3 linked regions of the Caenorhabditis elegans genome follow. The protein of the gene in region 2 purifies or fractionates together with the protein of the main gene of each other region. This does not show direct contact. Each region holds a gene or a part of one and is shown on either strand. Other genes may lie near its edges. The genes, in order: srbc-68, smg-1 and F53F4.15.

Region 1 (3,171 bases), on a different chromosome or scaffold from region 2:
TATCAAAGTTGTACTCCAAAAATGACGGGTTTCTGATAAAACTATATTCCACATCAAATGCAATGATTTCTCATGTAAGTTTTTTTAAAACTGTAATGGTACCGTGGGTATACTGTATGATTACTGTAGTTTCAGAAATATGAGCTTTCGTTTTTGTAAGAGATATTTGGGGATAGTGTCGGGGTACTGTAGTAGTACTTTAGGGGTACTGTAGGAGTACTATAAGATTACTGTAGTAATTGAGGTTTTGTCTTTTGAAGAGACAGTGCCGAGTTACTGTAATAGTGATGTAGGAGTACTGTAGGAATACTGTAATTCTAGAAATTTGAGTTATTGTTTTTTCAAAAGAATAGTGAGGGATAGTGGCGGGGTACTGTAATGGTACTGTGGAAGTAATGTCGTAATAGGACTACTGTAGCTCTATTTATTTGATTTTTTGTTTTATGAAAAGATAGTGTCGGGTACTGTAGGAGTCCGAAGTGGTACAGTAGGGGTACTGTAGGGACACTCTAGGAGTACTGTAGAATTATTTTAGTTCTAGAAAAATTTAGTTTCTGTTTTTACAAGAGATACTTGGAGATAGTATCGGGGTACTGTAGAAGCTGTAGGATTACTTTAATACTGGAAATTTGAGTTTTTTCATTTGAAGTGATAGTGGGGATAGTGTCAAAGTAGTGAGGGGTTACTGTAAGGGTTACTGTAGATCGCAACAAATTTTCAGATCATTCCTTCGATTCTCTTTCCTATAGTCACATTTTTTCTTGTAAACGTCCTACGAAAAGCTAAAAAATCTCGGAAACTGGTATCCAAGACCGATAGTAATACGAAGTCTACAAAAATCATAATCTATACAGCGATTATTTTTCTAATTGTTGAGCTTCCACTTGGAATCAATCTGGCGATCATTTGGTTTTTCAATAATTCCGTTGGAATCAAGTAAGTTTGACGGCAAAAAATTGGCTGAAACAGCTAGCTTTTCAGGCTGATTCTTGATCAATTTGAAGCTCTTTTTTATATGCTACTTACCGCAAACACAATTTCCCATTTCTTTGTTTGTTTCGTCTTGTCTTCACAATACAGGGCAACACTGATAGATGTAGTGTCGTGCGGGATAAGTTTCCAGGTAGGAATAATTTTGAGCGAATTTGAAAAAGGAGCCGGTATGAACTCAATAAATTTTCAGAAGAACAGAATTGGAAATCTTTGCAAAAGTCGAAAAAGTTCACAACAAAATGTTATAACAGTAAATGCAATATCAATATGATCCATCATCTTTATAAGTCACCAAAGTATTATTTTCCATAAAATGAAGCAGCGTCCGACAAATGGCGGGTTCTGGCTCCCAAGTAATAATAATTTTTCGTCCAGTAATCAAACAATTCCTTCTAACATTGAACTTTTTTATTATTTTAGTTAGAGTAAGAATAAAACCCTATACAACTACTTGTGGTTGTGAAATAACTGCACAACGGAAATTATCTCATATTCTAGTGAGGCTTGTCACAAATGCTATCGATACTATTGTAGAACTTGCTGATAGCTGAGAAACGTCTGAAACCCTACGAAAAGTAACTTCTGTTCACAAAAACATTTTACTATTAAAGAGCCCAGAATAATGTCAACTATTGTTTTTATATATTCCTTTATTACTGTCATAGTCTGTTACTCAAATATTTGCCTAAATTTGATCCTTTTATTAGCAATTTTCTGCTCTAAAAGAGTCACTTTCAAATCTGAATTGTCTCTTTTCTATACAAGATTTGCTGCAGATATTGGATACAGTATTTCTAGTAAGTTTTTGAAAATCTAATTCAATTCAATTTTGATTCAGTTAGTAATTTCAAATTGTACATTTTGGCGGTTATGATTTCGGAAATATTTGCCGTTAAAAATTTCATTTTCATCACACTATGGCTTACTATTATATTTGGAATCATTCGAACAAGTCTATTATTTTTAACTACTTTGGATCGAGTCATTTCTCTATTCTTCCCTTTCTTCTATTGCGCAAACCGTAGCAAACTTCCACTATTTGCCATTTTTATTCTAATTTTTTCCTTGATAATTTTCGATCAAATTATCATGTTCGGATATTGTGGGAATACTATTGATACTCCCATGAACTGCGACCATTTCCGTTGTTCTTTCAATGAGTGCTACAGTATTTATTGGGTAGAGCACGAAAAAATTGTATTCAGTATGATCGTCGTTTTGACAGTATTGCAATTAGGGAAACTTGTTGTTTACACTGTTCTTGCACAGAACCAATCGGCTCAAGTTTATTCAAGAGTAAGGTGCTGTACCTTTAAAATATAAGCAATTCATAAATTTAAGGCTACCCAAATAGCTATGCTTGACTCAACAACTCTTATTTTATTCAATCTTGTTCCGGTCATGTCTACTTTTTGGTTTGAATCAGCTGATTATGAAACGTATTCGTCGTTTGCAACTCTCTCTAGAAATCTTGGATTTTTAATCAACACATTGATCATTTTTCGAATATTCATGAGAGATAAAAATAATACAGTGACAGCATTAACATCACCCAATTCTTAAGAACTTAATTTTTTTAAAATAAATGAATAAAATTGCTTCAAACTATTGCTTTTGGTTTTTTAGTAAATGTGTAAAGAATTGTACGTTGAAGGTCGCATAAAAAACTACCTTCAAATTATTAATTAATCCTATTTTTATCGACTGACGTTCTTGTTGTTTTTTTTAATTTTTATATTAACACATTAACACAAAAGATAAATTATCCAATTTGATAAAAATGAAATCCCGGCAGCGTCGTTTGAGTAATGTTTTTGCCTAGCCTGTCTGCACTTCATTTTAAAAATGCAATTATTATTGGTTTTATAGTAACAATGAAACGCATTCATATTTAATGCACTTTCTGTTCTTGGCCTGTACAATTAAGCTATTAGACAACTGCGTGAAAGGTATCTGCTGAACGGAAATTAACTAATATATTATTTACACAAAAGTTGAGTATTATTATCTTTTTGTCCCTAACAATAACATTATGTTTCCTATTTTCACAGTCATAACCAGTTACGTAACAGTCTATGAAATCGTGAGAAAAGCTAGATAATTGAATATTTTAAGATGTTATACTTTTTTTTTATTTTCAGTTTTCACAGACAATACTAATAAACAAAGTCTACGAGA
Region 2 (4,930 bases):
TAAATTTTCTATTCGATTTAGAATTTTTTATATTAATCGATTTTCATGAAATTAAACAATTTCCTTACTTTGTACAACTGCGTGGTTCCCTCTGCAGCGCCTCTGAAATTTCTCCAAGAGGAGTCCGAATAGAGACGAGCCACAGCTTGAGCACATCCTTCAAAGTCATTCCACAGCTTATCGTTTTCCGTCAGATCCTCAGTACAATCACAACGACGGTGGGCACCGCCAGTTCTCGAAGAACAGCTCGAGTGATGATTCGACATATTATGCGAACTGAAAACATTAACATAATTTTTTATTAAAAGAAAGAACTGTCGGAAATCAAGTTCGAGAATATTAGAAAAAAAACGGGGAATTTTAAATGTTATAATTAATGTTTTCAACAAAGATTAGGCAATCGCGTGAGCAAGGTTTCATTCAACAAAACGAATATCGATTAGCTACACAATCTCATCAGTCTTTCAATTGCATGGGAGTTATGCTCCCCGAGCAAGTTCTAAGCGACTAATTTATCGATTTCTGGGTGAACATCAGCATCAGATGACGAAATAATTACAGAATAAAGATAGTTAGATGGAGAGAGTGAGAAAGATTGGAAAACGATTGGGTGCGTCCGGTCAAGAAATTGAGAGGAGAAGTTATCTTAAAGATGAAATGAAAAGATAGAAATGAAGGATTTATTGGTAAATTTGCAAGATTTGAGGTAAAAAATGAGTTATGGAAAATTTAAAACCAATTTTTCAAGGATGAGCAGTTGAAATATGAATGACTCATTACGAATACACTAGAGAAAAAGCTAATCGGGGAAATAAATGGCTGGGAAATTAATAATGTTTAAAAAACAGCTCTTGTAAAACTATTTTGTATTCAGAGTATGAAAGCAGGGCATAAAAGATAACTAAAAACATGAACGATTGGCGTCGAATCATTGCGAAAAACGTGGGTATACAGAGGCCGTTATTCGAGGTTTTCAGAATTATCAATTGAGATTCAATTGCATGTTTTCATAAAAACCGACAGGAATAAGCCATTTCTTCCGATTTTTTTTTCGAAATTTTGCGAAAATCGATGGGGAAACAATGAAAAAAGTGTCTGAAACGGGCAGAAAATGAGGAAAAGAGAGTAAAGAGAGAGAGCGGCCGAAACAAAACATTCGATTAGCAATGGAGCATGTTTGCTGACTCATGTGTCGACAGTTTAAATGCTTTTTGATCATCTGTTTATGAAGTTTTTCAACATTTTTATTGATTTTCAGAACTGGAGATTTTATTGCTATTTTTTAAGAACATAAAATCTAATTTTTTAGTGTGAGAAAGTTCTTTTAAAAGTATTAAAACAAAAGAAAAGCAACACGAGTACTGTATTAAAGGCGCATACCAAAAATCATGAGTCCGGTCTCACGAAGCGTTTGCACCACAATTAAAAGTGCCATTATCGATAGTTATCTTCTCAAATTAAAATTTGTTTCGTCTTTCCGGGTGCAAATCTATTTAAGCTTGAATTTTCATTAAATCACAATGTTTTATTTGCTTAAAACATTTTAACGTGACATTTTCATTTTCAAAGCTAAGTTTCCTTTTTTATTTATTTCTGACACGTGACGATGCTAGTCCGGCCGAGAAAAATGTTTAAAATCCTTAAACGGCCCGACACATTAAGGTATTTTGTTCTCGTTTATTCAATTTTCCCGATATTTGTATTCGTTTCTCAGGCTTTTTTCCTGTTTCAACTTTTATTTTCAGCCTATGCAACCTTCCGTGCGATCAAAAAATGATAACATCGAGAAACAATGATATTGGGAACCTGATAGAACAGGTAAATGTGATAAACGGAGAAAAGTATTTATTGTTAATCAAATTAAGTTTCGTCAACGTGACACGCCACAGAAGGAACGGAAAGCGATTCTCGCTAGAATCGAGGAGATTCTTCAAACTACGAAAAATGTAGAGGTTTGTTTTCCCTTCGGAAGCATTACGGAAAACCAAGAAATTATTATTTTACAGAGTCTTTGTGTAAAATGGACTTATCTTTTGGATAACTTGTGTTGGCCTAGTCTCACAAAACACGATCGGAATGACATGAAAACGCTGGCTGGAAAAGTGATACGACTTGTTGGAGTTTTACTCTTTGATACTGAATCCTATCCAGAGTTTGTGAATTTTGCCATTTGAAGATATAAAATAAAAATTTTTCAGGTTTCTGATTTATCTTGGAACATTATATCAAAGTGTTACGAAGAAAAGTGAAGAAACACGTGCGGATATCGTGTTTTCAGTGTATTTCATCGTTGGAGTCATCAGTCAAAAAACGGAGAATCGTCTAATTGCTACCGACACTGAAAATGTCGAAAAATCATTAGACTGGATAATCAAAGTGCTTCCGAATTCATCAATATCAGTTTATAACCACTGTTTGAAAGGATTTGTACTTGTTGCAAACACATTTCCAAATGTTTATGCTGCAATGTTTGAGGTATTTTATTTGAAAAATAATAAAAAAATTTCGCTTTTTCCAGTCAACCCTCCGAGCAATTCTGACCAACCTTCCCGATTTCAACAGTCATGAAAAGAATTTTGAGCTTCTCATTGATACAGTGATGCGATTTTCTGATCAACTTAATGAGAAGCCTCATTTGGCAGAAGAAATGGTTCGAATTATTCGACCGGATATCAAAAAGAATGGATTGGGAAATATGAGAGAATTGAAGAAACGAATGAAACTGACAATGGCACTCGTGAAAATGGCGAAAAGTCAAAAAATGCTTGAGGAGACTAATCAGATGGTGAGAATATGATGAGGGAACACATTATTTGCTGAAATATCTGAAAATTTCAAAAATAAATTATCTAAAAAAGCTTTAGAAAGGCAAATTCTCAAAAAGTTGAAATATTTATTTTGTTATTTGTGAATAATAAGTTCCAAGGACTTAATTTTGTTCTTTAAAGTGTGATATTGATTTTATTCAATTCATCTTTATTTTAAAATTCAAGTTCGTGGACCAAAAACAGATTTTCCCAACAAAAAGTTAACAAACTGCTTATTATTCTTTTTATTCAATAAATTTCAGATTTCTGAAATGTCTATCGAACTCGAGGAAAACGGAGGAAAATGGTCATCAGCTTCACTTATAACTATCGTTTGTGATGTTTTCAATGAGCTCTTGATATTGGGAAAAGATGATGTAAAATTGCAAAAAGGAGTTGAAGAATCATTGTGCAATGTTCTGAAAGACTTGAATCTTTCTAATCAGAGTACTATGGAGAAACAAGCATTTTTCAATTCTCTTGCAAAGGTTTGGTTTTTTGCCACAAAAATATCCGAAATTAGAGTATTACCCGAAATTTGGCGCTGAAACTAAAACTACGGTACTTGGTCTCGACACGACAACTTTTTGCTAAATGCGAAACGGTGTGCGCCTATTATTACTGTACTTTTAAACCCTTGTTGCTGCGGAATATTGCTATTTTTAAACGTTTTTTTCACGATTTATTAAAATTTATTTGAAAAACTATGATAAAACTTTGATGCACTGAACGAGAATTTGAAACTACTGTAACCTGTAAAGGTGTACATCATTCTGCATTTCCCAAAAATGTTTCGTGTCGAGCGTAGGTGCTGTATTGTTGGCGCAAAATGTTGCGTCTGGGTAATACAAGCTGCTGGTGTATGTAATTGATTTCAGATTGTCAAACAACTTCCAGCAGAGTCACAAGTCAAAACTAGAGTTCATCAGATTGTTTTCAACACGGAAACTGGACTTTTCACACCCAAAAACCGCGATAATCGAATGTTTGGGTGAGAAAAAGTTTTTAAGTCGATGCTCTATCGTATCGGGGAGTACGATGTTTTTCAAAATCAATTTTTATAATTTCAGACATAATATGATATACAAGGATCTTATCAATCTTGTCTCTGTGCTTCTTACGCCTACATCACTCAATCATCTACAAGCGACATATACGGATTTGAGGAAAATAATGATAGGTTAACTTTAATTAAATCTGTGAATTCAATTGATTAATTATTTCCAGATAGCATGTCACGATTGAAGCAAAGTGAAGATACTCCGTATAGTGATAATATTCGATGGAATGAATCAATCCTTTTGCTTTTCTTTTCGTCACTTCAAAGTATATCATGTGCCAAGAGTTCTCTTATTGTGGTTTGTTTAAAAATAACAATTATTTTCGCAGAAAACAACGATTTTTAACAATTAAAGAACAAATTTTAGATGATGGGAATCCGTCCGTCAATTTTTGAATTCTTCTCATCGGAACTTCCACTCACAGAATATTGGCTTGCTTCAAATCATCCAGAAGTCTATCACCTATTTATCACAATATTTGTTGGACATTTGAAAGCGTGAGTATGACAGAATAAATACTTTAATAAATCAATTCTTTCAGTCACGACTTCTACATTGTTCAATCTGATTATATTGTTCGTGGTGATAGCATTGGACAAAGTATAGGACAAACGAAACGAGATTATGCACGGAAACAAGTTGTTGCTCTACAGAAAATTATCAACAATTTTGGAGACAAATTGTGGAAGAAGACTAGGTTTATTCTTGAGCATTCATTATATTTTATTTTCAATTTTTAATAAATTGTGATTCAGACTGATGATATCTTCATGGCTTCACTCTCTCATTGCAACTGCTTGTGAACATCAAATCGGAAGTGATAGTTTCAGTCAACGAGAATGGGTTCGATTAAGGAATACTGTCATTCATCAGTCGGTGCTCACATGGAATAATGAATGGTATACACTTGAATTGCTTGAATTTCTAGCAGTTTTCACATTTTCTCAATCATTTGTACCAAGCAACACTTGCTGGAAAATCAAAAAAAAATCAATTTTTAAAATATCCCGCTACGCGCCCAACATTGAAATATATAATTCCTGGGACTTCTTTTTGGAATTT
Region 3 (3,155 bases), on a different chromosome or scaffold from region 2:
TAATTTCGAACTTAAAAAAACGTCAACGAAACATGAATAAAACTACATAGAAATTCACTTTTTTGTTGAAAAATTATCAATTTTACCAATTTTTGTGATTTTCGGTGATTTTCTAAATTTTGAAAAATTGAGTTGAATCTTTCATTCTACCCATAAAAGAACTAATTTTTCTTGACTTCATGACTTTTATTCCAGATGAGTTTACCCTGGTATCACCTGGAACGGCCTGCTCGAATGACCTTGCTACGAGCTTATTATACTGTATGTGCACTCACATATCCTACATATGTGGCGATCAACTACAAAAGTTATATTCCAGACAGAGCACAGGTAAAATTAAATCTAATTAGTTGCAGTTAATGAAATATATTTAGGTTCTTGGCGGAAAATCACTTCGTGACGAGATTCTACATCCGGCAATCGTCAAAAACTAGATCTATCGATGTGCAATTCCTCATCATTCTCCGAATTTTTGTCAAATACGAGTATTTTTCCGCCATTATCATTGGTTTTGAGTTTTCCCCCATAGGCCCTTTTCGTTTTTTTCTTTTAGTTTTTAGTCGTTGTTTGTTATCATTTTAAATTTATTCATTCATTAAAATTATTTAATTATGGATTGATGAAATAGTTAGAATAACGATACAATCCCCAGACTGGCTTGTTGGGATTGTAGCCATAATTAGGATAATATGGAATATTATCATCATAGACAGTTGGAAGATTTTGTTGAAGAAATAGACGATCATAGAATCCTGTCCGAGCAAATGCAGACGGAGCTCCACGAAGATTTGCTTCACGATCTTCCCGTTCTTCTACTTCAAAAAGTAATATTAAATTCTACAACTTCTCCGTGAAACCTACAAATCTCGGCAGCAGTTTTATCATGTTCACATGGCCAGACTTTACGAAAATTGACTCTTTCCGGAAGGCACATTCGACCAGGTGGCATTTCAATAGAATAACCAATCAGGAGAGTGAAGCAAAGAATAGAGAGATGAAGAGAAAACATTATTGATAATCATACAATGGGAAAGAGAAATATGGAAAAGACGATTAGGTGAAAAACTTCAAGAAAACACGATTTTTTGGTGATATCTCAGTGATCTCGACAGATTGAAAAATATGGGCGAACTGGATTCGCAATGCATTTTTGTATGTAATAAAGTTAATTGAAAATTAACTTTAAAAATATAAATAGTTCAGATTTATCAGGTTTTCCAAATAACAACATAATTTTTGAATAACGATGCATTAGGTTGTAGGTTGGATTTAACTTCTACCGTTTCACTTCCAATTTCTCAGCGTAAAAGCCAATCGTTATTTACCTCTGAAAGAGAACAAGAATGAATTCTTAAAACTTGCCTATATTTTTCTCATAAAATTTTGTAATTCGTGGACATCGCCTTAACCAAATGTATTATTACGAGATCACTACTTTCTGAGAATGCGTGTTGTGCAACATATCTGACGCGCAATATATCTCGTAGCGAAAACTACAGAAAATATTTAAATTACTACTGTAGCGCGAAATATTTTGCGCAATACGCATTCTAGACATCTAAAGATAAGAATTTTCGCCACATCTTAAATACTTATGCGCACGGTCTCGCCACGCTGACAACGAGTTACTGTAATAATGCATTATAATTTTCGTTTCAAATGAAACATTGCTTCTAAAATTTTTAAATAAAAACATGATCAGTCATAAATCAGCACGAGTTACAGTAGTCAGTAGTCAGCGTGGCGAGACCCAAGCGCGTAAGATATGGCAAAAATTATCATCTTCAGACATCTATGTAATAGATTTAATATGATTAAGGCGTCGCTATTTTGATGATCTGTAAATTTTTTTTGACAATTGTCTAGAACATCAAGTTAACTTAATGTTCTAGACTATTGATATAATACGAAACGACACAGATATATCCCAGACTATGAGTAATTCAAACAGTACATATATTCTCAGGTACGCCAGACGCTTTCTACTGAATGAAGCAATTAACAGCTCTGAGAGCCATCACGAGGAAGCATAAATAGAGATATCTTACGTGCACATGATGTGTTTTCCTTCCTTTTTCGAAAAGTCGAGTGAATAGATATGATAATTGTTTACTTTTTTACGGATTACGGAAAATCTAGTTCCCAAAAAATTATTTATTTTGCAAAATTCTTAGCATTCCTTAGAACAATATAATCATTCTGTAACCATAATCTTCACAGTCATCGTTCCAGTGAAGCCTTAAAATAAAGATTTTCTTTCTATTGAAAAATTTATATTTAAGAGAGAGCTTTTACCATTTTTTTTTTCACTTTCAGAAAAACTTGAAAAATGCTGGACTCTATCACATTATTCTTCCTTTCTTTCCATACGTTTGCCGGAGTTTCTGGCTGCATTCTCAATTCAATTGTGCTCTTTTTGGCACTTTTTCGGACTCCGAAGGTTAGTTTTTCGTGAAAAATCTTTGAACTAATCATAAAATATAGATTAAAATCAAAATTTGAGAGCTTTAGTTCCCAGTTTGGTAAAAACTGTGCAAATCTCGTAATATAGGCTCAGCTTTCTACAGAACTCTGCCATTATAACTAGGTGTGGGATAGCTGGAAATGTTCTGCAGAAATTCCTCATCACATAGACAAGCAATTTCAACCTTCAAACATCAGTTTCCATTTCCAGACAATCGCCGCTTACACCACAATTCTCATAAACTTTGCATTGACCGATTTCCTCGCCTGTTTCACAGATCTTTTCATTCAAATGCGGCATATTCCGGCTGGATTTACAATGGCTTATTTGTCACGTGGACTGTGCACTTATTTTGGACCCCATGTCTGCTATTTTATGTACACCATAATACATATTCCCCGACACGCTTCATTTTCTTAATTTCAGATACAGCATAAACATTTCATTAGTAGCTCATGGTCTATGGTCATTGCTAATGGGGTTCTCATATCGATATTATATCCTGTTTCATCCGGCACCAACGAGAAAAGCTTTGATAGTAATTCTTATGTTTATATCAATTCCGTCAATTATCCAAATGGTAATAATGTGAAACAATTTAGATTTCAAGCTGATACTTTTAAGATAACATTTCTGTGGGCAGACGATGACGCAGATGAAATGAAGCGAATTGTCGTCGAACGATTTCCGG

Evidence for each region.
Region 1: the proteins of smg-1 (region 2) and srbc-68 fractionate together in Caenorhabditis elegans (co-fractionation; one large-scale study listed by BioGRID). This does not show direct contact.
Region 3: the proteins of smg-1 (region 2) and F53F4.15 fractionate together in Caenorhabditis elegans (co-fractionation; one large-scale study listed by BioGRID). This does not show direct contact.

The regions. Positions count from the first base shown.
Region 1 is NC_003283.11:3,545,062-3,548,232, reverse strand, and holds srbc-68 (G-protein coupled receptors family 1 profile domain-containing protein), read left to right. Parts: upstream 1-1,615; coding exon 1,616-1,790; intron 1,791-1,831; coding exon 1,832-2,289; intron 2,290-2,334; coding exon 2,335-2,556; downstream 2,557-3,171. Other genes in the region: srw-130 (G-protein coupled receptors family 1 profile domain-containing protein), read left to right, coding at 1-74, 722-936, 982-1,123, 1,184-1,264.
Region 2 is NC_003279.8:6,910,395-6,915,324, reverse strand, and holds the start of smg-1 (Serine/threonine-protein kinase smg-1), read left to right. Parts: upstream 1-1,773; coding exon 1,774-1,818; intron 1,819-1,865; coding exon 1,866-1,952; intron 1,953-2,006; coding exon 2,007-2,152; intron 2,153-2,198; coding exon 2,199-2,475; intron 2,476-2,518; coding exon 2,519-2,785; intron 2,786-3,070; coding exon 3,071-3,295; intron 3,296-3,685; coding exon 3,686-3,798; intron 3,799-3,877; coding exon 3,878-3,987; intron 3,988-4,034; coding exon 4,035-4,165; intron 4,166-4,234; coding exon 4,235-4,365; intron 4,366-4,409; coding exon 4,410-4,565; intron 4,566-4,623; coding exon 4,624-4,767; intron 4,768-4,930. Other genes in the region: haps-1 (Essential protein Yae1 N-terminal domain-containing protein), read right to left, coding at 69-266.
Region 3 is NC_003283.11:13,618,861-13,622,015, reverse strand, and holds F53F4.15 (Neuropeptide-Like Protein), read right to left. Parts: upstream 1,041-3,155; 5' UTR 1,010-1,040; coding exon 862-1,009; intron 816-861; coding exon 610-815; 3' UTR 540-609; downstream 1-539. Other genes in the region: F53F4.16 (uncharacterized protein), read left to right, coding at 196-330, 375-434; srd-11 (G-protein coupled receptors family 1 profile domain-containing protein), read left to right, coding at 2,330-2,440, 2,675-2,841, 2,891-3,044, 3,089-3,155.